Linked DNA regions of Oryctolagus cuniculus. The protein of the gene in region 3 interacts with the protein of the main gene of each other region in a pairwise test. Links are inferred from orthologs where the notes say so. Each region holds a gene or a part of one and is shown on either strand. Other genes may lie near its edges.

What was found.
Region 1: the proteins of MKRN3 (region 3) and FAM110A interact in binary tests that used the Homo sapiens proteins (3 or more experiments, as listed by UniProt). The two-hybrid records come from large-scale screens. The link is inferred for Oryctolagus cuniculus from reciprocal best matches to the Homo sapiens genes MKRN3 and FAM110A.
Region 2: the proteins of MKRN3 (region 3) and ENKD1 interact in binary tests that used the Homo sapiens proteins (3 or more experiments, as listed by UniProt). The two-hybrid records come from large-scale screens. The link is inferred for Oryctolagus cuniculus from reciprocal best matches to the Homo sapiens genes MKRN3 and ENKD1.
Region 4: the proteins of MKRN3 (region 3) and SFN interact in binary tests that used the Homo sapiens proteins (3 or more experiments, as listed by UniProt). The two-hybrid records come from large-scale screens. The link is inferred for Oryctolagus cuniculus from reciprocal best matches to the Homo sapiens genes MKRN3 and SFN.
Region 5: the proteins of MKRN3 (region 3) and UBE2K interact in binary tests that used the Homo sapiens proteins (3 or more experiments, as listed by UniProt). The link is inferred for Oryctolagus cuniculus from reciprocal best matches to the Homo sapiens genes MKRN3 and UBE2K.
Region 6: the proteins of MKRN3 (region 3) and POLR1C interact in binary tests that used the Homo sapiens proteins (3 or more experiments, as listed by UniProt). The two-hybrid records come from large-scale screens. The link is inferred for Oryctolagus cuniculus from reciprocal best matches to the Homo sapiens genes MKRN3 and POLR1C.

The regions. Positions count from the first base shown.
Region 1 is NC_091442.1:26,831,843-26,835,806, forward strand, and holds the start of FAM110A (protein FAM110A), read left to right. Parts: upstream 1-1,164; 5' UTR 1,165-1,402; intron 1,403-3,964.
Region 2 is NC_091449.1:50,907,477-50,911,546, reverse strand, and holds the start of ENKD1 (enkurin domain-containing protein 1), read left to right. Parts: upstream 1-1,270; 5' UTR 1,271-1,371; intron 1,372-1,519; 5' UTR 1,520-1,534; coding exon 1,535-1,619; intron 1,620-1,710; coding exon 1,711-1,878; intron 1,879-2,281; coding exon 2,282-2,454; intron 2,455-4,070. Other genes in the region: C18H16orf86 (uncharacterized protein C16orf86 homolog), read right to left, coding at 1-168, 533-741, 939-1,034. UniProt on the Homo sapiens protein: Microtubule-binding protein which regulates microtubule organization and stability. Promotes the stability of astral microtubules and facilitates the proper orientation of the mitotic spindle.
Region 3 is NC_091443.1:13,380,333-13,384,353, reverse strand, and holds the start of MKRN3 (probable E3 ubiquitin-protein ligase makorin-3), read right to left. Parts: upstream 2,801-4,021; 5' UTR 2,680-2,800; coding exon 1,132-2,679; 3' UTR 1-1,131. UniProt on the Homo sapiens protein: E3 ubiquitin ligase catalyzing the covalent attachment of ubiquitin moieties onto substrate proteins.
Region 4 is NC_091438.1:144,640,943-144,643,783, reverse strand, and holds SFN (14-3-3 protein sigma), read left to right. Parts: upstream 1-1,356; 5' UTR 1,357-1,459; coding exon 1,460-2,206; 3' UTR 2,207-2,341; downstream 2,342-2,841. UniProt on the Homo sapiens protein: Adapter protein implicated in the regulation of a large spectrum of both general and specialized signaling pathways. Binds to a large number of partners, usually by recognition of a phosphoserine or phosphothreonine motif.
Region 5 is NC_091433.1:33,602,561-33,605,608, forward strand, and holds part of UBE2K (ubiquitin-conjugating enzyme E2 K), read left to right. Parts: intron 1-2,250; coding exon 2,251-2,350; intron 2,351-3,048. UniProt on the Homo sapiens protein: Accepts ubiquitin from the E1 complex and catalyzes its covalent attachment to other proteins. In vitro, in the presence or in the absence of BRCA1-BARD1 E3 ubiquitin-protein ligase complex, catalyzes the synthesis of 'Lys-48'-linked polyubiquitin chains.
Region 6 is NC_091436.1:126,548,517-126,552,812, forward strand, and holds the start of POLR1C (DNA-directed RNA polymerases I and III subunit RPAC1), read right to left. Parts: upstream 2,801-4,296; 5' UTR 2,740-2,800; coding exon 2,671-2,739; exon of another isoform or gene 2,640-2,670; intron 2,560-2,639; coding exon 2,488-2,559; intron 2,191-2,487; exon of another isoform or gene 2,124-2,190; coding exon of another isoform or gene 2,043-2,123; intron 1,300-2,042; coding exon 1,192-1,299; intron 983-1,191; coding exon 850-982; intron 628-849; coding exon 508-627; intron 426-507; coding exon 273-425; intron 119-272; coding exon 1-118. Other genes in the region: protein YIPF3, read left to right, coding at 3,048-3,128, 3,641-3,838, 4,011-4,117. UniProt on the Homo sapiens protein: DNA-dependent RNA polymerase catalyzes the transcription of DNA into RNA using the four ribonucleoside triphosphates as substrates.

The DNA.
Region 1 (3,964 bases), on a different chromosome or scaffold from region 3:
AAGGGCCTGGAGGGTGAATTTAGTCTAGTGCCCTTAAAAATGTCTTTTTTTTTCTTTCCCCCTCTTGACAAGTCCACGTGATGGACTTTAGGAAAACCCGCAAAGCCCTGGCTTTGTGGTACAGTGGGTTAAGCTGCAGTTTGCAATGCTGTCATCCCACAGCTGGAGTGTTGGCTCAAGTCCTGGCTACTCTGCTTTCCATCCAGCTTCCTGTTAACGTGCCTGGGAAGGCAGCAAAAGATGATCCAAGGAGTCGGGCCCCTGCCACTCACATGGGAGACCAGGATGGAGTTCCTGGTTTCTGGCTGCTGCCTGGTGCAGCCCTAGCTATTAAAGCCATTTTGAGGACCTCTCTCTCTCCTCTCTCTCTCTCTGACTCTGCCTTTCAAATAAATAAAGTTTTTTTTTAAAAAATGTACAACAAAAACATTCAAATAAAAAGAAATTAACTACTATTATTATGTGATTATGCATATATACATATTGCGGTTACATATAATATGTATGCATAGGACTTTGAAGCAACTTTTAATAATTCAACATTCCGTTAGCATTTCACCATATCTTTAAATATATTTTAAGTGCATCATTTTGGTGGCTGCATACTGTTCCTCACCAGACCGTGGCGAAGGATGTGACGCGGGCCCTGCCGCGGTTAGGTTACACGAAGCCACTGGCACAGCGTGCATTTGCGTAACCAGACCTCCTGATAAGCGCTGCTGTTTCCGCATCATCTCACTAAGCCGACTACTGCTGGGTTACTACTGACATTTGCTCAGTTTGGAGCCACTTCCTTTGCAAATTTCGGGACGGCCGGATATGCAAGGTTTTAGAAAGACCTCTCTTCTGACGGACAGGGACAGGTCTGCGGTCACACAGCAAATTAGGGACAAAGACAGGACTAGGAACCTGCCCGAGGCCCCGACTAGTGCCATTTCCAGCTGGATCCCCAGAGGAAGGCCTAACCCGAGAAGTAGGGAGAAGACAGGAAAAGAGCCAGGCGCCAGCTCCCGCAGCCGCCGGGAGGACACCGGGCCGGCAGGGGCGGGGCTGTGAGTCGCCTCCAGCGCGCAGCCGAAGCTAAGCGGTCGCTTGGCAACCTGGGCGCCGCGGCGTTCGAACGGAAGCGAGGAACCAATCAGGAAGTCCGGAGCGAACCATTCCGGGGAAGTTGCGGGGTGGGGAGCGGCGGGCCCACTTCCCTTTCCTCCGCGACCCGGGGACCTTCGCTCCGGGGAGGCCTTCGGAAACACCGGGACACCTGCGCGTCTCAGGTGCCGCGCGCAGCTCCGAAGAGGCTCCTGCGGGTCGCCGCGCGGGGCTGGGACCTGCCTGCGTTGGGCGCGGCCACCCCCGGCCCGGGTCCGAGCTGTCAACCTCACACGCCTAGCGCGGGCTCCAGGTGAGCTCGGGGGTGGTCCCGGTTGCGAGCCCGGGTGTTGGGAGTTGCGTCCGCCCAGCGCTCCCGGGCGTCCTCCCCGCGTATGATCTGCGTGCCATTTCAGATACGGAAGCTGAAACTCAGAAGGACGAGGGTCCTAGGCCGTCTTTTTTTACCCCTGCGCAGCCGCTAAGGCTAGGCAGGTGCAAATTTGCCTTGAGAGGCCCAGAGGTAACCGGCGGTTGCTTTCCCAGTCTGTCCTCGGCACGGATACGGCCCTTGAACTCCTGGCTGGATTACCTTGCCCACTCGGCACCGTCCTCAGGAGACCCAGCGCGCCTGGGGCCCTTCTGCTGTCGGGGGTTCTGAATCCCAACACCCCCTCCCAGGGCCCTCTTTCTGGGGATGGGAGGGGACCGACGTTTCCAGGATAGATGCCAAGTGGGCAGTAGATTCTTGAACCCTCGGAGACGCTGTTGTCTTCTTGGGAACCTGCCTGGGGTCGGGAGAGGGGTTGAAGCAGTCCCTAAACACTGGGGGTGGGGTTGGGGCTGGGGCCCTCCAGGTGGAGCCTCTGAGCTGGGCCAGACCCTGCTCTGCCTCCTGGGGACCCCTCTCCCTGCACCTGCTCTTGTTGGTCTCCTTTGGTAGGTGGGGGAACAGCTTCCTCCTTGAAGGAGGTAGGCTCCTTGCCCGAAGTCACCTGGTCCATCTGGCTTCAGTCTTAGAATCCTCCACTCAGAGAACTGCAGAATTCGAATCCTGAATCTCATCACAAGAGAGTTACTTATTCTCTTCCCTTCTGGACCCGTTTCCTGGCTTTGGGGAGAAGAGCTCAGAAAATTCAGAAAGAAAAGCCTTTCATCCATTCCTTCCACAAATAGTTATTTATTTTCATTTTATTTGCAAGGCAGGGAGACAGACAGAGAGTGATCATCCATCTGCTGGTTCACTCCCCAGATGCCCACAACAGTCAGAACTGGGCCAGGCTGAAGCCAAGCGCTCCGAACTTCATCCAGGACTCCCACGGGGGTGGCAGAGTCCCAAGCACTTGTGCTACTTCCTAGGGCGTGGGTGGGTACTTCAGTATGGGCTGTGGGTGTCCCAAGTGGCGGCTGAACTGCTGTGCCCAGTGCCTGCCCTCGGGAAGTGGTTGTTGACTGCGTGTCCTACCCTCCCCTGATGTCTCATTTTCCTCGTTTGCTCTGTCCTGTGTCCTATAAATTCTGCTTGCTAGCGAGTTGATTATCTTCTCCCAGTAGAAGGCGATGAAGGTGGGGGCTGGGAGGAGGCATGCATCGCTGGCACACACTTCCTGCGGTGGCCGTGATCTCCGTCATGGAGTTAAGTGAAGTGAACCGGTGTGTTCCCCTGGTGAGGCACAGACTTGTGTGGCTCCTGGGGCACGCGGTCCTATCTCTGCTGCAATCGCCAATGCATCCCTTGGCCCCAGCCGCCCCATTTCAGGCAAAATGTAGGCGCAGTGACGCTGCAGCGTGGTTGGTGACAGTGGCTGTCAGTGGGGACCAGGGAAACAAATGGGGGGGGGTACGCTCTGTCTACTGACGTGGCAGCAAGAGCAACATACTGTGCGCCAAGGAAGAGCAGGTGAAAACAGTCTACGCAGCGTGGTGCCATGTGTGTACAAAGGAAATCATTAGTGTTCATACTTGCTTGGTTTTGCCTAAAATTTTTCCGGCCCCAGTGGTGCCTGTGGGGGGTGGTGGTAGTGAGGACAGAGGTGGAGGGAGTTGTGTTTTTTTTTTTTAACTTTATTTCCTTTATAGTTTGAATTTTGAGCCATGTGCATGCATTACCTCATTGAAAACAATAATCATACACACACACACACACACGTGTCTCATGAGACCGTCACTCTGTATGACTTGTCTCTGACTTGCTGTGTGACTTTGGCAAGTTTCTTCACATCTCTGGGCTGAGATGAGAAGCCAGGATGGTGAGCTCAGGTCTGAGCAGAGGGCAATCTAGGCCGTGAAGTGGGCTTGGCTGTGCGCCTGCCTCAACGGCCAGCCTCCGCATCCTGGGCCGGGCCCTTCCCCGAGGCCCTGTGTGTGGTGTCTCTCGTTCCATTCCCACTACGAGCCCCTCTGTCCTCATTTTGCAACCTCTGGTGCCAACTGAGGCCCGGGAGATTGGGTCCTTGGGGGCGGGCATGCGGGCAGGCCAGGCAGGAGTTCAGTGCCCTGGGCATCCACACCCACACCCCTCCCACAGCCTGCTCGGCTCTGCCTTCCTGAGACGAGGGCAAGGCCGGCTCCTGGGCAGGCCAGGGCACGAGCGTCTGGGAAGCCTCCAGAAATAGCTTGAGGCCTAGCGTGGCCTTGGAGGACGCCCAGCCGGGTGTCTCTGCCCTGGACAGCTGGGCTGAAACCGAGCTGCGGCTGCTACTGCTTGGAGCCTTGCTGATCCTCTGCTGGGGCAGGCGAGGGCCTCACCGTCTGCACCCAAGGCCAGGAGAGAAGCAGGTGGAAGGAAGGGGAGGGGCCTCCTGCCCACTCCACAGAGGACCAAAGTTCCCAGCACCACTTGAACGCTGACTATGTGCTAAGCACTTGACAAGTG
Region 2 (4,070 bases), on a different chromosome or scaffold from region 3:
TCTGAGGGGGCAGGCACTGTGCTGGCCATGGCGGCCAGCACAGGAGCCCCAAGACTCTTGCGTTTCTTTGCTTTCTTGTGCTGTTTCGGGGATGGTGAGGGCTCACTCTGGCTTCCCTCCGACTCCTCCCTCTGCAGCAGTAGCCCTGGTGACAGCTCAGCTTCAACCCTAGGATGGGCATGGAGACTAGAGCTGGGGAGGCTGGGGGACTGCAGCCAGGGACAAGGGGCCTGCCAAGCCAGCCCCCAGGCCCTAGGCCTAGGGAAGAGCCCTGCCTACCCACCACCCCAGGGCTGGTTACCTGTCCCTTTCCTGGTCAGTGAGGCCCCAGGCCCAACCGGGGCCCAGAGCTCATGTGAGCCAAGTCCTCATCTCCCGTGGTGCTCCCCACAGCAGGAAGCAGAAAGGGTTGAGGGCACTGGTAGTGGGAGGAGACAAGAATCTGCTCTACAGGAGAGCAGGACCTAGAACCCCACTAGGGTGTGAGCCCCACGCCTCAGCCCTGCGGCTCTCTCCCTGGAAGCCTCCTCACTTGACTGGCTTCCTCTTGGGCCCATGACCAGGCCTCATGGGGGAGGCCATAGGCCTGGGGCCTTTCTCCTCTGGTGCTTCCACCTGCGGCTTGAGCGCTCGTTCCTGGAGCTCTGGCTCTGAGGCATGTCCTCTTGGACACCTGTCTGCACCTGGGGTCCTGCAGGCCTCGTAGGCTGGCTCCAGGCACTGAGCTTCCATCACTGGGCACTAGAAGTGACACATAGGCAACTGGTCACCATGGTTAGGTAGAGTCTATAGCCATAAGTCAGCTGGTGCCCAGCATTAGCCACCAAACACGGGGTGGAGGGCACCAGCCCATGCCCAGCCCCAGCTTGGTCATCCGGAGTCCGGTCCCCCAGTGTGGCACGGCCAGGGTGTGAAGGCTTCACAGCCTTGGCCATCACCTCAGAGCGGCCACTGGGTGCCTTCACGAGCTGTGCCGGCCCCACGGCCACCCCTTCCTGGGCTCCTGGCGGCCTCTCCGCCCCTGCCGAGGCCATGGCTGCGCGGGGTCAACGCGTCCTCGCCGGTTACCTACGGAGAGAAGGGAGACGAGCCATGAGGGGCTGCACTGGTGGGCCCTGAGCTGACCACAGAGACTGGCTGGGAAGCGAGCTGCGAAGGGAAATTGGTGGTCGCCCCACCTGCCCTCGGCTGGAACTACAAGCCCCAGAAGGCCTTGCGCCAGGGTCACTGCCCCTGACCTCAGGGACGGAAGCCATTCGTTGCCTGGCAACAGCAACTCCCTTCGCGGTGCTGCAGCTGGCGGCAAAACTGCTAGAGTGAGCCGGGCTCGGGGGTTACCGGGAAGAGGCCGCGAACCCCGAAGGGACGTGGGTTAGCGGCGGGGCGGGAGACGAAGGGGGCCGGGAATGGGGGGCACTGCCATGGTCTGGGTCTAGGTGGAGGGAGGAGGCGCAGGGCTGGGGAAGGGAGTCCCGGGCGGGAGGTGCACAGCCTGGCAGGCCTCGGTGCACCGTTGCAGGGCGTCGAGGACAGCATGTGCGAGGGCCCGTCCCGCATCTCGGGGCCCATCCCCCCAGACCCCACGCTCTGCCCAGACTACTACCGGCGGCCGGCCTCAGGTGAGTCGGGGGTGCTGCGGAGGGGGCAAGGCCCGGGATCGCCTGCCGCTCCACCGCTGAGCTCCGCACTCGGCCCTGTCCCGCCCCTCAGCCCAGGGCCGCCTCGAAGGAAACGCGCTGAAGCCGGACGCCACCCCACCCCGCGGGCCCCGCATCAGGCCCGGAGGCCGAGAGATCTTGGAGCGTGGCTGGCGAGGCGTAGGGGGCGTGCTGCTGCAGCTCGAGGGCATCTCCCTCAGTCCGCGGGTCTCGCCCAAGAGTAAGTCCGGCAGAAGGGGCAGTGAGGCAGTTGGAAATCAAAAGCGGCTGTCCCTTCCCTGACCTGGGCCCAGGCTTTGCCTCTCTTGAGCGTCAGTTTCCCGCGGGAGGGAACCTCATTAATTCATGCATCAAAACGTGTTTCCTGTGTGGCAGGCCTTGTGGGTGCCAGGAAAGCAGGGTCGTAGGCAAGGTGGGAGGCAGTAAGTGAAGACATGAGGCGATCCAGGGTATTTACTGAAAAAATACAGAAAATAACGAGGGGAGATTTACATGCAGGCAGGGGAGCGAGGGGAGGTCTGGTGTGTAGACAGCGTCTGGCAGACACAGAAACCGGGAGATCTTTCTGGAGAGGGCGGGCAGGGAGCTGGTCAGGGCAGAGCCTGGGAGCACCTTTCCCCCAGGGAAGGACCCTAAAGACCATGAGAAGGAGAACCTGAGGCGGATCAAGGAGATCCAGAGACGCTTCCGGGAGCAGGGCCACGGCCGGGAGCAGGGCCAGCCCCAGCCGCTGAAGGCTCTGTGGCGCTCACCCAAGTATGACAAGGTGGAGTCTCGAGTCAAGGCCCAGCTGCAGGTACCCGCCCCAAGGAGCCGAACCCTGGCCTGCACTGTGGGGAGGGAGGCACCTGATGCTGTCATGGCGTGGGGCTGGGGTCACTTCTCAGAAGTGGTCATGGCTATGCTGGTCATGAATGGCAAGTAGGGATTGGGCAAGGGGAGAGTAGTATAGAATATTCCAGAAAGAGGGCGGGCGTGTGGCCTAGTGGTGCAAACGCTGGTTCGGAAGCCTGTATTCCACATCAGGGTGGGTGCTGGGTTCCGTCCCCAGCTGCGGCTCTTTGACCCCAGGGAGGCAGTGGTGAAGGCTGCTCCACCTGAGGGACGTGGGTCGCACTCCTGGTGCCCAGCCTCAGTCATTACAGGCACCTGGGGAGTGAACCAGGCAATGGGAGCTCCGTCTCTCTGCCTCAGGAAAGGAAAAGAAAAAAAAAGCAAAGTGTAATTAAAAGAAAAAAAAATAAAGAACATGCCACAGAGATGGAACCTCACAGGCGGGAGTCCGGAGACCAGCGGGAGCAGGCAGTGAAGGTGCCAGGTTCTCTGCTAGCAGTGTGGCTCCCACTGGGAGAGGGGAAAAGCATGAGGTTAGGCCAGGAAGTCAGCCGGAGCTACGTCATAAAGGACCCCCAAGCCGCTTCCCTTTTTTTCTCCCTCCTCCCCTCCCTTGCTCTCTTTCTCCACTTCTTCCTTCCTCCTCCTTTCCGAGAACCAGAGCGCTCCCATGTGCTGGGTCACTCTCCGAATGCCCACAGTGGCCAGGCCAGGAGCCATCACCACTGCCTCCCAGTGTCTGCATTAGCAGGAAGCTGGGGTCAGCAGCCAGAGCTGGGGATGGAACCTAGGCACTCTGATGTGGAACATGGGGTCTTAACTGTCTAAGCCACTTTCTGGAAAAATTGGATTTATTTGACAGAGAATGCTAGATCCTCCATCCATTGGTTCACTCCACAAATGCCTGCAACAGCTGAGGCTGGGCCAGGCTGAAGCCAGGAAACCAGAACTGAATCCCATATGGGTGGCAGGGACTCAAGTACTTGACCATCACCTGCTACACACACACACATACACAAACATACACACACACAACCCCACACACACCCCAGGATGTATATTAGCAGGAACCTGGAATGAAAAGTGGAGCCCAGACTGGAACCCAGGCACTCTGATAGGGGATGCAGGCATCCTAAGCAATGCCCTTTTTTAATGATTATGGTATTTTCAAAAATGACTGCTTATTTTCATTTACTTGAAAGGCAGATTGAGATATAGAGACAGAAACAAAGGGAGCTTCCATCCTGTGGCTGGGACTGGGCCAGGCAGAAGCCAGGAACCTGGAACTCCATCTGGGTTTCCCTAGTAGAAGGCAGGGTCCCAAGCCCTTGAGCCATCATCTGCTGGCTCTCAGGGTGCAACAGCAGGGAGCTGGACTGGAAGTGAGCAACCAGGACTTCAGCTGGCAGTCTGATATGGGATGCCGACATCTCAAGCGGCAGCTTAACCCACTACACCACCATGGCCACCCCACAGGCAGGGTCTTCACTGCTGTGCCAAATGCCCACCCCGAAGACACTTTTCAAACGCTTACTTTGAGGACAGTGGAAGGGTAGGGCAGGGGTATCATGGTAGGAT
Region 3 (4,021 bases):
ATTCTTTTATCTTTCCAATCTTATATCCTAACTAGTTTTAGTATTTTATTCTATTTTACATGTTGTATGCTTATTACCTTTATTTTGATAAATTTATGAAAAGCCCGTTTTCAAAGTATAAAAATAATATTTAAAAAATGAAAATGAACAACTGTATGTCTGAGCTCAGGATTTTATGTTATAATGAATGAGCTGTTGGCTCTACTGCATGGAAGTACACATTTCTGTATTTATAACAGCACAGTGAGGTCATAGGAATTACCAATGTCATGTTTCATATATCCTTTAAGACTTGTATCTGTTACACTTGGCATTACACTTGAACAACAGTTTTCATTAGGTGCTAAAAAGTGACATCTGTGCAAGGGAAAGATTATTCACACAGCAGCCAAGCCTGCTATCCCTTGACCTCAGCTTTCATCTCTGCATTTATTTTATTATGCAAACATATACATCACGATGTATATTTTATATAAATTTTCCAATACAGAGCTAATATACACAAATATGCATATATAATATATCACTTTTAAGCACATACTTCCAAATATAAATAAAATAACTTCACATCAAGTTGAACAGGATAAAAACATGTAAACATTTGCACCTGGTTTTGTTCAAGTAAAACACGAAATCACAAAGTAACCACAAGTTAACAAGTGCACTTTAAGAGATGCCAGAAGGAGCAGTGATGTAAACAAACAAAAACAAGCAAGGCCCTGCGAGTGTCCACTTCTTAAGGCTACTGTAGCAAAAAGCTTCCAGTTAAGACTTCCCTTTCACCCTGTCACATTTGTTCTTGAGGGACTTCAAAATGAGTGTAGAAATTCTGTAAACACTAGACTAGGACTGAGTGAACTTTGTTGAAAAACAGACATGACAAAAACCCCACAAAGCAACAGTCATATTAGCTCCACCAAACAGTAACTTTAAGGATTCTTTACTATTTTTTAACACATGAAACCACCATTACCCTAGGGGAAAGATTCGGGGCATAGACAAGAAAACAGAGAAACACTGCATAAAAGTCGCCACCACAGCCCCTGAAAGTGACAGGCATGTCAATAAAGGGAAAACAGCCAACAGCAGACGACAAAGCCCCAGCAGACTTGATCAGAGTGTGGCAGGATACTACAGATTCAAGTTGAAATACTCTTCCAGCTGATAATGAAGCAAGTCCCACTGCTCCTCAGAGAAGGGGAACTCGTTTCTCAGTGAAAGAAACCGCTTAAACAACAGACTGGCCAGCCGAAGCGTGACAAGCTCCTTTTTACTGCTTTTAAAGAGCAGGCTGCCCTCTCCCAGCTGCACAGGCTGCGAAAGTTGATGCCAGTATGCGGCCGACGGTCCACCACCCCGCCCCTGAGGCTCCTCTCCCTGGCCCTCAGGGTATGAATGCTTGTAAAAGCAGTGCTCTCCAAACGGGCAGTGGCCCCTGCCTTCGGCAAAATATCTGCAAGGCTTGTTGCTCAACGCCTCCTTGTACTGCTGAATAAGTCTCTGCTTCTCTTCCTCCTCCTCCACCCAGAACTCACTGGGAATGACAAAGTTGGAGGTGACTCTGCACTGTGGGCAGGACTTGACGATCCTGTTCTCAAAGTGTCTGGCACGTCTCCACCTACGGATACACTTAAGACAGAAGGGGTGGTTGCAGTTGGAAAGGATGCCAAAGCGGCGGTCGCTGGGGTTGACTTTGTCATAGACAACCTCCATGCAGATGCCACACACCTTATCCATACTGCGCTGCACGGCAAACGAGAGCTCCATATCCTTCTCGTGTGCTTCGACGCAGGCCTTTCTATGGTCTGCCCTCTGAGCGGCATCCAAGGGGTGCAAGGCCTGTAGCCCACACATGTCACATATCTCTCCGTGGAGGTACATACAGCTCTCCCCACGAAAGCACTGTCCCCTGGCAGCGTGAGGGCAAAGTTGCATCCCCATGCCCACAGCCATCTGCTGCCCCATGCCCACAGCCATCTGCTCTCTCTCAGTCACCGAGCTCTGTAGAGGAGCCTCGGGGACAGAAGCGACCCTGCGGCCCCGGTAGGGCTGCCCGGGAACAAACTCAACGGCCTCTTCCCAGCCTTCTACACCTGATCCTCCGACAGCCCCTTGACCAGCGCATTCCAACTCGGCTTCGAAGCGACCCCTTTCAGCAGCCGAGCCAATCAGAGGCAAGGAGCTTGAGGATGCAGCAGGGGCGGCTTCCGCCACTTCCTGAGTTGGGGGCTGGCTGGGCGCAGCCATGCTGGGGCCTCTGTCTGCAGAGGCCCGGGGCGGTGCGCCATGGCCCTCTCGGGCCACCTGCCTGCCAGAAAGGTCGTGAGAGTAGCGACAGTTCTCCCCCTCCTTGCACAGCCCATGCAGATAATACCTGCAGACGACTTGCTTTGTCCAGCTGCCAGTGCTCCGGCTCGGCAGGTGACTGGGCCTGGCCCCTCCCCTTGCGGCCTGGACGTGCCTCAGGCCCACCATCCGCAGATGGGCTGGGCTGGGAGCCACACGGAGAGGGACTAGGCCCAAGGCCGCGCGAGCAGGGGCTGTGTCTGGAGCCACAGATTCCCCAGAGGTCTCACACTCAGGGAGGCTGGGCCCAGATGCACCCTCCCCTGCTGCCTCAGCCCCTGCCTGGGCCCCAGATGCCTCCTGGGCACCAGAGGGAGCTGCAGGCTCTTCCATGGCAGCTTCTTCTCCCAGAAACGATTCGGGAACTTCCCCGGTGCTGTCTCCTTTTGGGCTTGAGCCCTGGAGCTCGGGACGGTCACGGAGGTGTCTTTGGGGGAAGTGTGCACCTTTTTTTCCTTTCCCCCACTCTCTGTTCCCTGTGACTGTGTGTTCCTACCTTCTTTCCCCTGCAGGCAGCGTGGCGGACACTTCCTGTGGTGGCACCGGCAGCGCGCGGCGCCGGGTCTCCACGGCCGACCAATCTGACAGCTCCTTTGTTCACACAGGCAAAGGCGGGCTCCGCGCCCCCTCCTCTGGCGTCGCTCCCTGCTCTGCTGCTTTCCCGCAGACCCCAAGCCCCCCTCCCACACTGTCTCCTCTGGCAGATGAGGTTTTAATTCCATGTCTTTAGTTTCTGCCATGCACTTCTGATTATTTGTCAAACGTGTCTGCGTAAAGAAAGTTCACGATCCTCGCTGCTTCTCCACGTGCTGATGGGCTAATCCTGCAGTTTCTGAAGCATGCCCTGCGTGGATTTTACACCGCCTTTGTCTGCGCACCGCGCATTGTCTCCACTGTGGTGTCCCGCTGCCCCCTGGCTGCCCCTGCGGGGGCTTTGTGCGCTGCGCGGCGGCCACCAGACATCGTTTCTTGGGGTCTTTGTTTGCTGCAGGGTCTGCCTGGGCTGCTGGAGGAAACGCGAGCAGGGAGCACGTGTGGCTGAGGCTGTCAGCCCCGGCCGAGGGCGTCCTTTGTGGGACTTGCAAGGCTCCTGCCCCCGGCGCGACCCGGCTTTTCTTCCCGGCTGGTTTAATTCTTGGTGGCCTTTGTTCCCTCCGCCCAGCGAGCGAGGCTGAGGCTGCGGGGTCAGCACAGCTTTTCAGGCTCGGCCGCTGCCCTGACGGTGAGAGCTGCTTTCTTCCCTTTCCTTTCACAGTCACTGTCTTTGTGCTGCTGCTTTGCTCAGGGGCGCGCGGCTGTCTGCTGAATGTTACAGGAGAGCTCTCTGCGTTTCTAAGGAGGTTATGCTCCCTCTCCCTTTAATGCCCTGAATGTGATCATTAGCACTTCCAGCATTTCAAACATTTGATTTATTCTTTGTCTCATAATTAATCCTTCCGTGTTAGGATGTGCTGACGAATTGTATTTGCTAGAATAAGTTTCTTAGAGGGAAATTTTTATAACTTAAATTTCCATTCTAAAGTGAAAAAGTCTGAATATTTATGACACATTTATCCATGTCATCAAATTAAATCCTAATTAAGTAAATATAAATTTGTACCAAATTACTTGAGAAAAAACGAACAAAGTTCGAATAACCCAGACTAGAAATTTTTAAAGTGATATCACTAATTAA
Region 4 (2,841 bases), on a different chromosome or scaffold from region 3:
CCCTGAGTCCCAGCTAAGCTTTGGCTAGGGGCAGGGCAGCTAAACAGGAACCCACCCTCCTTGGCTCAGTGCCAACGTGAAACTCGAGGACTGGGTCCCCACACGCAGGGACAGAGGTTGGCGACGGAGGTCTCCAGCTCCGACACCTCTGCTGTGGTCAGAGCTGGGGCCGTGGTCAAGTGCAAGGGACATGGAAACTTCTGGGAGACAGGCTGGGGGGAGGCGTCACTCAGCTTCCACGGCTGCCCCATAAAACAGTGTGTGTCAGCGCCACCTCCTTCTCCTCGGCCCCGTCTCTCCCCGGGGTTGCCTGCGTCCCCCCTGGGGGACCAAACTGGACTGAGCACCCAGGTGGCCTGCTTCCCAGCCTCTGACAGAGGACAAGCTGAGTCAGGAAGGAGAGTGGGACCCTTCGTGAGCCCTGCTGCTCTGTGATGGCAGGCGGCGTGGAGGGGGCAGCTGACCCGGCCTGGAGAGCCTCATGGGAAGTCCTCCAACAAGTGGCAACAGGCCACCGACTTGAAAGGGAAAATTGTGCTGTGAAGGGGAAGGTGTCCGACGAACCTACTGGGTGACTAATTACGCAGGCCCGGCTGGAGCCTCGGAGGCCGCTCGTTAAACACTTCGTTAAGTAGCACCCTGATAGCTGCCACCCTTCTGGGAGCATTTGGGAGCTCGGAGGGGACCCTGCATGGCTGAGGCCCTGGGGCTGGAATTGTCTCCCAGTAGACTCAGGAAGAAGCCTGGCCTCACTTCTAAAAGTCTGGAGCTCCCCGGTCAGAGGGGGCAGGTGACCTGGCATGCAGAGCCCATAGGAGAAAAGCCCAAGGAAGCTGGGTGCAGGAGAGAGCTGCAGGGACTTGGCAGCTGTGTGGCCCTGAGCAAGTCTCACAGCCTGAGAGTGAAGAGGCTCCCACACCACGTCAGGGCTGCACACCTCACAGTCACGGTGGGGACTGCACCCAGTGAGGACTAGGGAAGCGCTTGGGTTACCTCGCCTGAAGGGGGGGGGCAGTGCACCTGGCCGGATTAGCAGCCCCATCTTCCTGCACCCACCTGAGCCCACAGGCTATGCCAAAGCCGAAGCTGCCAGGTGGCTGAAGCCGTCCTTACCTCCTGGCAGCTTCCTAACGCGGGTGCTGGACAGGAGGGGGCAGCCTGGAGCCCAGCAAGGTGCCCGCACAGGTGGGGCCCACGCCCAGATTTCTCCTGCTGACTGTTCCAATGACTCACCCCCACATCCCGGCCCTTTTACCTTTAAGGAAGAGCCGGAAAGGGTGTGGGGAGAAGACAGGGAGGCAGGTCCTGGGCCCCAGTCCCGCCCCCCCGCCCCTCCCCACCCTTGCCTAGGCCAAGCCACCCAGCCAAAAGGCAGGTTGAGAGCAGCAGAGGCACAGAGTCCAGCCTTGGTCCCCAGGCAGCCAGCTCGCCCGCCGCCCGTCTCTCTGTCCCCAGAGCCATGGAGAGAGCCAGTCTGATCCAGAAGGCCAAGCTGGCCGAGCAGGCTGAGCGCTACGAGGACATGGCGGCCTTCATGAAGGGCGCGGTGGAGAAGGGCGAGGAGCTCTCCTGTGAAGAGCGAAACCTGCTCTCGGTGGCCTACAAGAACGTGGTGGGCGGCCAGAGGGCGGCCTGGAGGGTCCTGTCCAGCATCGAGCAGAAGAGCACGGAGGAGGGCTCGGAGGAGAAGGGCCCGGAGGTGCGCGAGTACCGGGAGAGGGTGGAGAAGGAGCTCCGCGGCGTGTGCGACGCCGTGCTGGGGCTGCTGGACTCCCACCTCATCAAGGAGGCAGGCGAGGCCGAGAGCCGCGTCTTCTACCTCAAGATGAAGGGCGACTACTACCGCTACCTGGCCGAGGTGGCCACCGGCGACGACAAGAAGCGCATCATCGACTCGGCCCGCTCCGCCTACCAGGAGGCCATGGACATCAGCAAGAAGGAGATGCCGCCCACCAACCCCATCCGCCTGGGCCTGGCCCTGAACTTTTCTGTCTTCCACTACGAGATCGCCAACAGCCCCGAGGAGGCCATCACGCTGGCCAAGACCACTTTCGACGAGGCCATGGCCGACCTGCACACCCTCAGCGAGGACTCCTACAAGGACAGCACCCTCATCATGCAGCTGCTGCGAGACAACCTGACGCTCTGGACAGCCGACAACGCCGGCGAAGAGGGCGGGGAGGCTCCCGAGGAGCCGCAGAGCTGAGCCGCCCGCCGCCGCCCTGCCCCCTCCGGTCCCCGACGCCCCGCGGAGAGGACTACTACGGGGTGGGAGGCGCCCCCCTTCTCCCCCTCGCTGCGCCGCCCCGGCTCCCAAAGGCTCCCTGGAGAAGGGAGCCGCTGAGCCGAGGCCGCCCGGGGGTCTCGCTCTCCCTGCAAGCCGCGGGGCGCTCCCAGCCCCTGGCCGCCCCCCCACCCTGCTCTCCGCACCCCTTCCCCTCCCGCCTCGCCTCCCTCCTGCCCCTGCGGCTGAGCGCGGCGCCGGGCGGCAGAGGCGGGAGCTGGGGTGCGCGTGTGACTGTGAGTGAGCGAGAGGGAAAGCGTCTGTCTGCCGGCGGTGACCGGCTCGGCTCAATAAACTCCCCGTGACACTCAGTCCTCCGGTCTTCTGCAGTTATTGGCGCTGGGCTGGGAGATGGGTGGGAGTGGGCTTTGCACAGGCCCCGATTTCCCCCGCGGCTGGCCCAGCGGCCCGCGGGCGAGACCTTGCGGGGGCGCAGCCAGGTTCGAGGCGGGGGCCTCTCCCCGCTCCGGGTGGCCCCACACTGGTCTGGTCCCGGGAGGGGCGGAGAGCAGAGGCAGCACTGAGGCGCCTCCCTCGGGCTAGGGGAGCGGGTGCCT
Region 5 (3,048 bases), on a different chromosome or scaffold from region 3:
TTGCACTTAGTAATCCTGCCCTTCCTAAAGGTATGAACAGATACTTTGCTGTGGGAACATCTAGATGTGGTCAGTAAGCTGTTCTCTACCTCATTAGTCAACAGGAAAATGCAAATGCAAATTAAAGTGACAATTGGATACCACTGTGTACCTGTACATCTGCATCCCTCATACATTGCTGGTAGGAATGTGGCTCAGCCACTTAAAACCAGTAGTATCTACCAAAGTGAAACATAAAACTTTGGTAGCTCAGCAGTTTTACTCTTAGATATATGTCGAAGAGAAATGCAAAAACACTTACATAAGAATACACGCAGCAGAATACACCTGGAAATAACTGAAATGACTTATCAACAAGAGAATCAGTATATTGAGTATAATCATACAATGGAACACTAAAGAGCAGTAAAGTCAAGCACACTATTGACAGAAACAGTATGGATTATTTTCACAGATATGTTGAGTGACAAAAGCCAGACACACAAGAAGATATACTGTATGGTTAGCTTTTTTTGAAATTCAAGATAAGCCACAACTAATTTATGGTGGTGGGAATTAGGGCATTGGTGTGTGTAGGCAGGAGTTGGAGAGGGAGAGGAATGAGGCTTTTCAATGTTAGAAGTACTCTACATTTTGATCCATATGGTTACATGGACATAGACATGCATAAAAATCCATCTGGCTGTACAGCATTTTACTCTTCTTATACTTAACCAATTGTAACAAAACAAACACCATTCTCTTCATGTAGAATTGTTTGGAATGAACGTGGGTTAATTTTTGATCTTCTGGAAGATCCTTAACAGAAAAGTCGGTCAACAATATGAACAGTTAGATGGTTATTGTAAGACTTTATTGAGTACTTTGTGAATAAATAAGTACCCATATTGGCTATGCTTATCAATTTGAGCAGTATTAATACTTTAGATTTATCTTTTACTGACTTGTATCATCTACTAATTAATAAAAGTTAACACCTTTATTTGAAGGGCAGAGCTACAGAGAGACAGAGGCACAGAGAGAGAATGGTCTTAACATCTGCTGGTTCACTCCCCAGATGGCCACAGCAGCTGGAGCTGTGCCAATCCAAAGCCAGCCCCAAATTTCATTTTCTTCTTTGCTATTAGGATTTATTTTAATAGATTTAAACTATTATCACTGAATACTAAAAATCTCAGTATACCATGGATTTAATCAGTACTTTGTGAAAAGAATTAATGGAATAAAAAGGTTTTCAGTTGCATACTTTTCCACATTACTTATATTTTAAAATTAATGTAGAGGGGCTGGCACTGTGGCGTAGCAGGTAAAGCTGTCACCTGCAGTGCCGGCATCCCATATTGGCGCCGGTTCGGGTACTGGCTGCTTCACTTCTGATCCAGGTCTCTGCTATGGCCTGAGAAAGCAGTGGAAGATGGCCCAAGTCCTTGGGCCCCTGCACCTGCGTGGGAGACCCAGAAGAAACTCCTGGCTTCTGGTTTTAGATTGGCACAGTTCCAGCTGTTGAAGCCATCTGGGTAGTGAACCAGCAGATGGAAGACTTCTCTTTCTCTCTGCCTCTGCCTCTTTGTAACTCTGCCTTTCAAATAAATAAATCTTTAAAAAAGATAATAAAATATATGTAGAGCAGTCCAAAGCTTTCTATGCCTTTTTTTTTTAATAACATAAAAGATTGGTGTCATAAGAATAGGTTTTATTTTGGTATTACTTTTCTTAATTCATTCTTAAGACAGTGTCATTGCTTATAATTGATTTGGGTTCAGCTCAAAAACTTTACATTTAAAGATTCTTTTAGGGCCGGCGCCACGGCTCACTAGGCTAATCCTCCGCCTTGCGGCTCTGGCACACTGGGTTCTAGTCCCGGTCGGGGCACTGGATTCTGTCCCGGTTGCCCCTCTTCCAGGCCAGCTCTCTGCTGTGGCCAGGGAGTGCAGTGGAGGATGGCCCAAGTGCTTGGGCCCTGCACCCCATGGGAGACCAGGATAAGTACCTGGCTCCTGCCATCGGATCAGCGTGGTGCGCCAGCCACGGTGGCCATTGGAGGGTGAACCAATGGCAAAGGAAGACCTTTCTCTCTGTCTGTCTCTCTCACTGTCCACTCTGTCAAAAAAAAAAAAAAAAAAAAAAAGTAAATTTCCCTAACTTTGTAATTAAGATAAAAAGTTGCTGGTGGTTTATGTTTTATTCAGATCATATCCATTTTGCCTCACAAAACACAGGCTTCCTAACTGGTATATTTTCTTATTTTAGGGCAGCAGCAATGACTCTCCGCACAGTATTGTTGTCATTGCAAGCACTATTGGCAGCTGCAGAACCAGATGACCCACAAGATGCAGTAGTAGCAAATCAGGTACGATGGCTGCTTCTGAAAGATTTTCTTATACACATAGATGAGTCTGTACTTCTGTGGTTTGCGGTGTTAACACATGAACATATTCTATTGGAACTGAATTTGGAAAAGGTGTCCTTTCTTGTAGTAAGATTTGTCAGATGTAAAGATGAACATTTATTGATTAACATACTAGTTTACAGGTTTATGTGGTGGAGACTGTTTTCTTAATATATAAAAATGTTAAAGTCAAAAGAATTATATGATGAGCATCCATACCTGATTCCCATTTTTCATACATGACCCTCTGTGCCTCTGTGCACCTGTCCTTCCTTCTGTTCAGTGCAGATCTCTCCCTGGTGATCATTTCAGTCACTTCCTACCAGGGCTTCAAAGTGGCATGGCCGTGGCCTTGTAATTTGACAAATGGAAGAAATATTTTTCAGTTCTGCTCTTTGATCATTCTAAGGCAAGGGATCAGCGAATTAAGTTTTGCCAATACTTGATTGAAATAATGCCACACCATTTTGCTTACTCTGCTTTCCCACTCCAGGGGCAGCGGTGAACAGAGACTGTCGTCTGAAAGCACTAAATGATTAGTATCTGGCCCTTTAAAATAAGGGGAATAGGAGAGGGAGAAGGGGGTGGGAGTGTGGGTGGGAGCGCAGGTATGGTGGGAACAGTCACTGTTCCTGAAGTTCTGTTTATGAAATGCCTGA
Region 6 (4,296 bases), on a different chromosome or scaffold from region 3:
GAGAAGCACTGGCTCAGCTCCTCAGCCGCTTCCCCTTCTATGGGTGCAAGCAGGGTAATGTCTGGCAGGAGCCTGTAACTGGCTGTCGCCACTGGTGAGAACTTGGCGTGGTCCTTGCCTGCAGGGAAGGGAGAGATCAGCCTGGGGGAATCCTCTCCCGAGCCACTGAGCGCGAAAGCCCAAGCCCACCGCCTTCTGCCGGTCAGGAGCATCCCTGGATTCCTGCGGCGACTAAGCTACGCCCTGCACCTGAGGCGGCCCACGGGTCTCACCGATGCCCTTGACACAGTGCATGAGCAGGTCAATCTCTTGGCCAGGTCGCAGCTGGGCAATGAGGATATCATCGTGCACCGGCCGGATAGTGCCCTCAGGGAAGAGGTCAGCCTGGTTCCCCAGGGGAACCCACGTCATGTGCCTGGTGTACACTGGAGGGAAGACAAGTCAGAGGGCTGTAGCCCCGAGACGCCCCCACAGCCAGCAGCCAGGCCTCCCTCCTTGCCCACTAACCTTTGTGATTCACATAGAGCTCGTTGGGGTCAGAGGAATCTTTAGCAGCGTGGGGGTTCCGAGTGCACCTGACCTGCAGCCGAAACTGCAGAGTGTCTATCTCTGTGCCCTCGTCGTCCCCTGCACAAAGGGAAGAGGCGGCCCTTACAGCAGCAGTGAGCATCAGGGTAGACACTGCCGAGTGCTACCCGTGTGCTGCTCCTCTCGTCCACAGATGATGAGTCACTTGCCCAGGGCCACAAGAGTCAACCCAGGATTCGAACCCAGGCAGCTGGTCCCAGGATCTACTAAGGAAGAAAGCGGTTCCACTTCCCCCAACAGCTTCATCTCCCAGGCCCTCACCTTGGTTCCGATATTCAAACAGTCGTGGATCAGCATGAATGGGAATGAGCCCCAGGCGGTGAGCCAGGATCTCATCCTGCACGATGGATGTGTTGTTGTACACCAGTACCTTCTCCACAGCCATTGTGGGCACCTACCCAGAGACCAGGATTACCCGTCTATAAAAACCCGGCAGACTCCCCACCTCCTGAGATGGACAACTCCTAGAAGAATGCCTCATAAAAACTTAAAGCAAAACACTCCACAAAATCGGGGGGGGGGGGGGGGGGCAACTTGAGACACTGACAGATGAGGTGATGGCACACTTCCCCACGCTCCAGCCGTCACCGGCCCCGCTGATACCTCCGCCAGCAGAATTCGCCGGAAAGCATTGGCAATGGCCGCATCAATTCCCACCATGTCAAACTCCAGCGAGTTTTCATCCATGTGTACCACATCCACGCGGAAGTTCTAGAGGCAAAGGAAAAACAAGTGGATGGAGCCTGCTCTTGGTGTGACCTGGCTACAGCTCCCCCTTGACACGGAACATCCCCGCTCCCCCAGAAGCCTTCCTCTGCCCAGCAAAGCCTCATTTGATGTTTTCTTCCTCTGTTCTTTTAGTTTCTTGAACAATGCCCCCAGTTTTGTATGCCACTAGTTGAAAATCCTATGCAATATGGCTTGAGCCAGAAGCTATTCTATGAAGAGCAGAAACTTCTATACAGTTTAGTCCAGCTGACAGGACTCAGTTCTTTTCTTACTAATGTTACATTTGGCATTGAATTAAAAAAAAAAAAAAAAAAAAAAAAAAAAACTCCTTTCTCAAACCCCATCTCCTCCGTGTCTGGGCACCAGTCCTCCATCTGAGGAGTTGCGTCTCCTTCCACCCACCACCTAGGTGTTACCGGTCCCCAGCTTCTTGTCTCTCTCCAAAGTGACATCAACCACACTCACGGTTTTAGCAACTACTATGGACAACTCCCCACATTCTGTCGAACGCTCTCCTGGGCTGCTAGCTCCTCCACACCGCGGGGAACCGAATGGGTCATCGTTCCCACTGCCCAGGCACCGCCAGCCGTCAGATGAGTTCCCACAGCCAGAAAGTCCTGACCGCTCTCACCAAAGCACTCCTGGGCTCCTTCCCCCAGCACTGCCTAGCGATCTGCCCGCCCCTTCTCCTCCTTCTCAACCACCAAAGCTGCAAACCGGATCACCTGGTCACGCCTGCTCAAGAACCCCCAGTGCCCGCCGTCAGGCCAGTGTAACATTCTATCAATAATGCGCGGTTCGGACATTCTAGGGACACGCCCACCCCGTCTTTACAAGTTAGCTCGCTTACTCCTCCCTCCTCGACCTTCACTCACCGTTCAGGGCTCAAACTCAGATGTCACTTCCTTCAGGGAATCCTATGATTCTGCCCCAGTCTAGACCGTCTCTGAGGGGTGCCCCACCCCCACTCTCAGCCGCCGTCACCGCATCCAACTAGAATGACCTGTACAGGCCTGAACAGCTCGATCGCAGAACAAGGCAGAAGCCCGGTGTGCAAGGAGCGCCCAGGACACGGTCGGATGCTGAGCAAACTTGGTTTTGCCACGTGAGTGACCCCTGGGAGCAGCTCGGAAGCCCGGGCTGCTCCGATCACACTCCGGCCCCACGCACCTTCTCGAAGCGGTCCTGATCCCAGGCATCATCATAACCGGAATAGTTCCCGGGGAAGTCGGTGGTATGAACCTAGAGATACGGGTCCGTCCGTGAAGAGGCAGCGAAGCCAAGCCCGCCCTCACTTTGATCCCGACCCGTCCCTCTCATACTTCCTTCTGAACTCAAGGCCACAAGGCTTACATTCCGAACTCCGAACTCCCCTAAAACCACGCGGCTCCGCATTTCTTCAACGGCCTGAGCCGCCGCCATCTTCGACTTCCCCCACGAGACTAAGGCCTCACGCCTGCGCGTGCGTTCTAGCGGCTTTCCTCCGTCGCCGTGGCAACGCACCGCCTCCCGGAGCCCGACGTATCGCGAGACTTTGCCCCGCCTCCGTCCACGTCCCCAACTTCCGGAAGTCTGTCTGGGCCAAACATCCGGGTTTCTCTTTTTTGCGTTCCGGCTGGTGGCGCCTGTCCTCGGCCCTGGACGTCTCCGTGCCTCAGGCCCACGTCTGCCCCCTCTTCCTCCGCGCGCGGGGCTAGCGCTGGCTTCGGGGACGGGAGCCCTCCAGGGACATGGCAGCCACCGCGGCGCCGGCCGGCGGCGCTCGAAACGGGGCCGGCCCGGAATGGGGCGGGTTCGAAGAAAACATCCAGGTAATGGCCCCAGCGCTTCGGCTGCCGGCCACCCCGACGTGTCTGGGGAAGCCTCCCTCGGGGCCCGAAAGCTTCCTCCATTTGCAACACTCCTCTCCCCTTTGGGTCTTCGTGCACGGGAAAGTCAGTGAAGCTAGTGCCGGCCGGAGGGCCTCGGGTCTCTGGACGCGCCTGAGGCGTTAGGAAGAGAGACAGAAGAGGAGGTCAATCGGGGTCAAGCGGGGCAGTGGGCGGGATTCGCTGGCACTCGCCAGAAACATCTTGTGTGCATGGTCTTGCTTGCGCCTTGCAAACCCTCGGGGCCTTTGATGGGGAAGGTGGGGAAAAGGCATGAGCGGAAGACAAGTAGGTGGCTTCTCGGGCTAGAGGAGAGCGCCGGAACCAGCAGCCAGGGGGTTCTGAGAGAAAGTGAGGGGTGACAGTGGCCTGATGTGCGGGGATTCGGAGGCGCGGCGCCAGCAGCGGGGCAGGGACCAGAAAGGCCTGCACTGTAGGAGGCATTGCCTTCACAGGGTGGGGGCTCTGCCGTGATTGACATGGAGAACATGGATGACACCTCGGGCTCCAGCTTCGAGGACATGGGTGAGCTGCACCAGCGCCTGCGCGAGGAAGAAGTGGACGCCGACGCGGCCGCTGCGGAAGAGGAGGATGGGGAGTTCCTGGGCATGAAGGGCTTTAAGGGGCAGCTGAGCCGGCAGGTGGCTGACCAGGTAAGCGGGGCTGAATCCTTGGCAAGTGCAGGATACCTGCGCGATCTGGAGTCGTGTGGGTGACCTTGACCTCAGGCTGCCCCAGTTGGAGCCCAGTAGAACCCCGACAGAAGCTAGGGAGCAGGACCCCAGGGCCAGGAGCCTCACGGGCCATCCCCGCATCTCCGCTCAGATGTGGCAGGCCGGGAAGAGACAAGCTTCCAGAGCCTTCAGTTTGTATGCCAACATCGACATCCTGAGACCCTACTTCGATGTGGAGCCTGCCCAGGTGCGCAGCAGGTGAGGCTCACCTCCTGAGCCCCGGTCCCTCACCCAGCCCTGGGCTCTGCTGTCCTTCCTGACGCCCTCACCCCTCCTCCCCGCACAGGGCACCAATTCGTTTCTACTCCTCTTCCTCCAAAGTTGAGCTCAAGTGTCGCCTCCTTTGCTCTGCGTTTCTGAGCCCCAGCCCGCCTCGT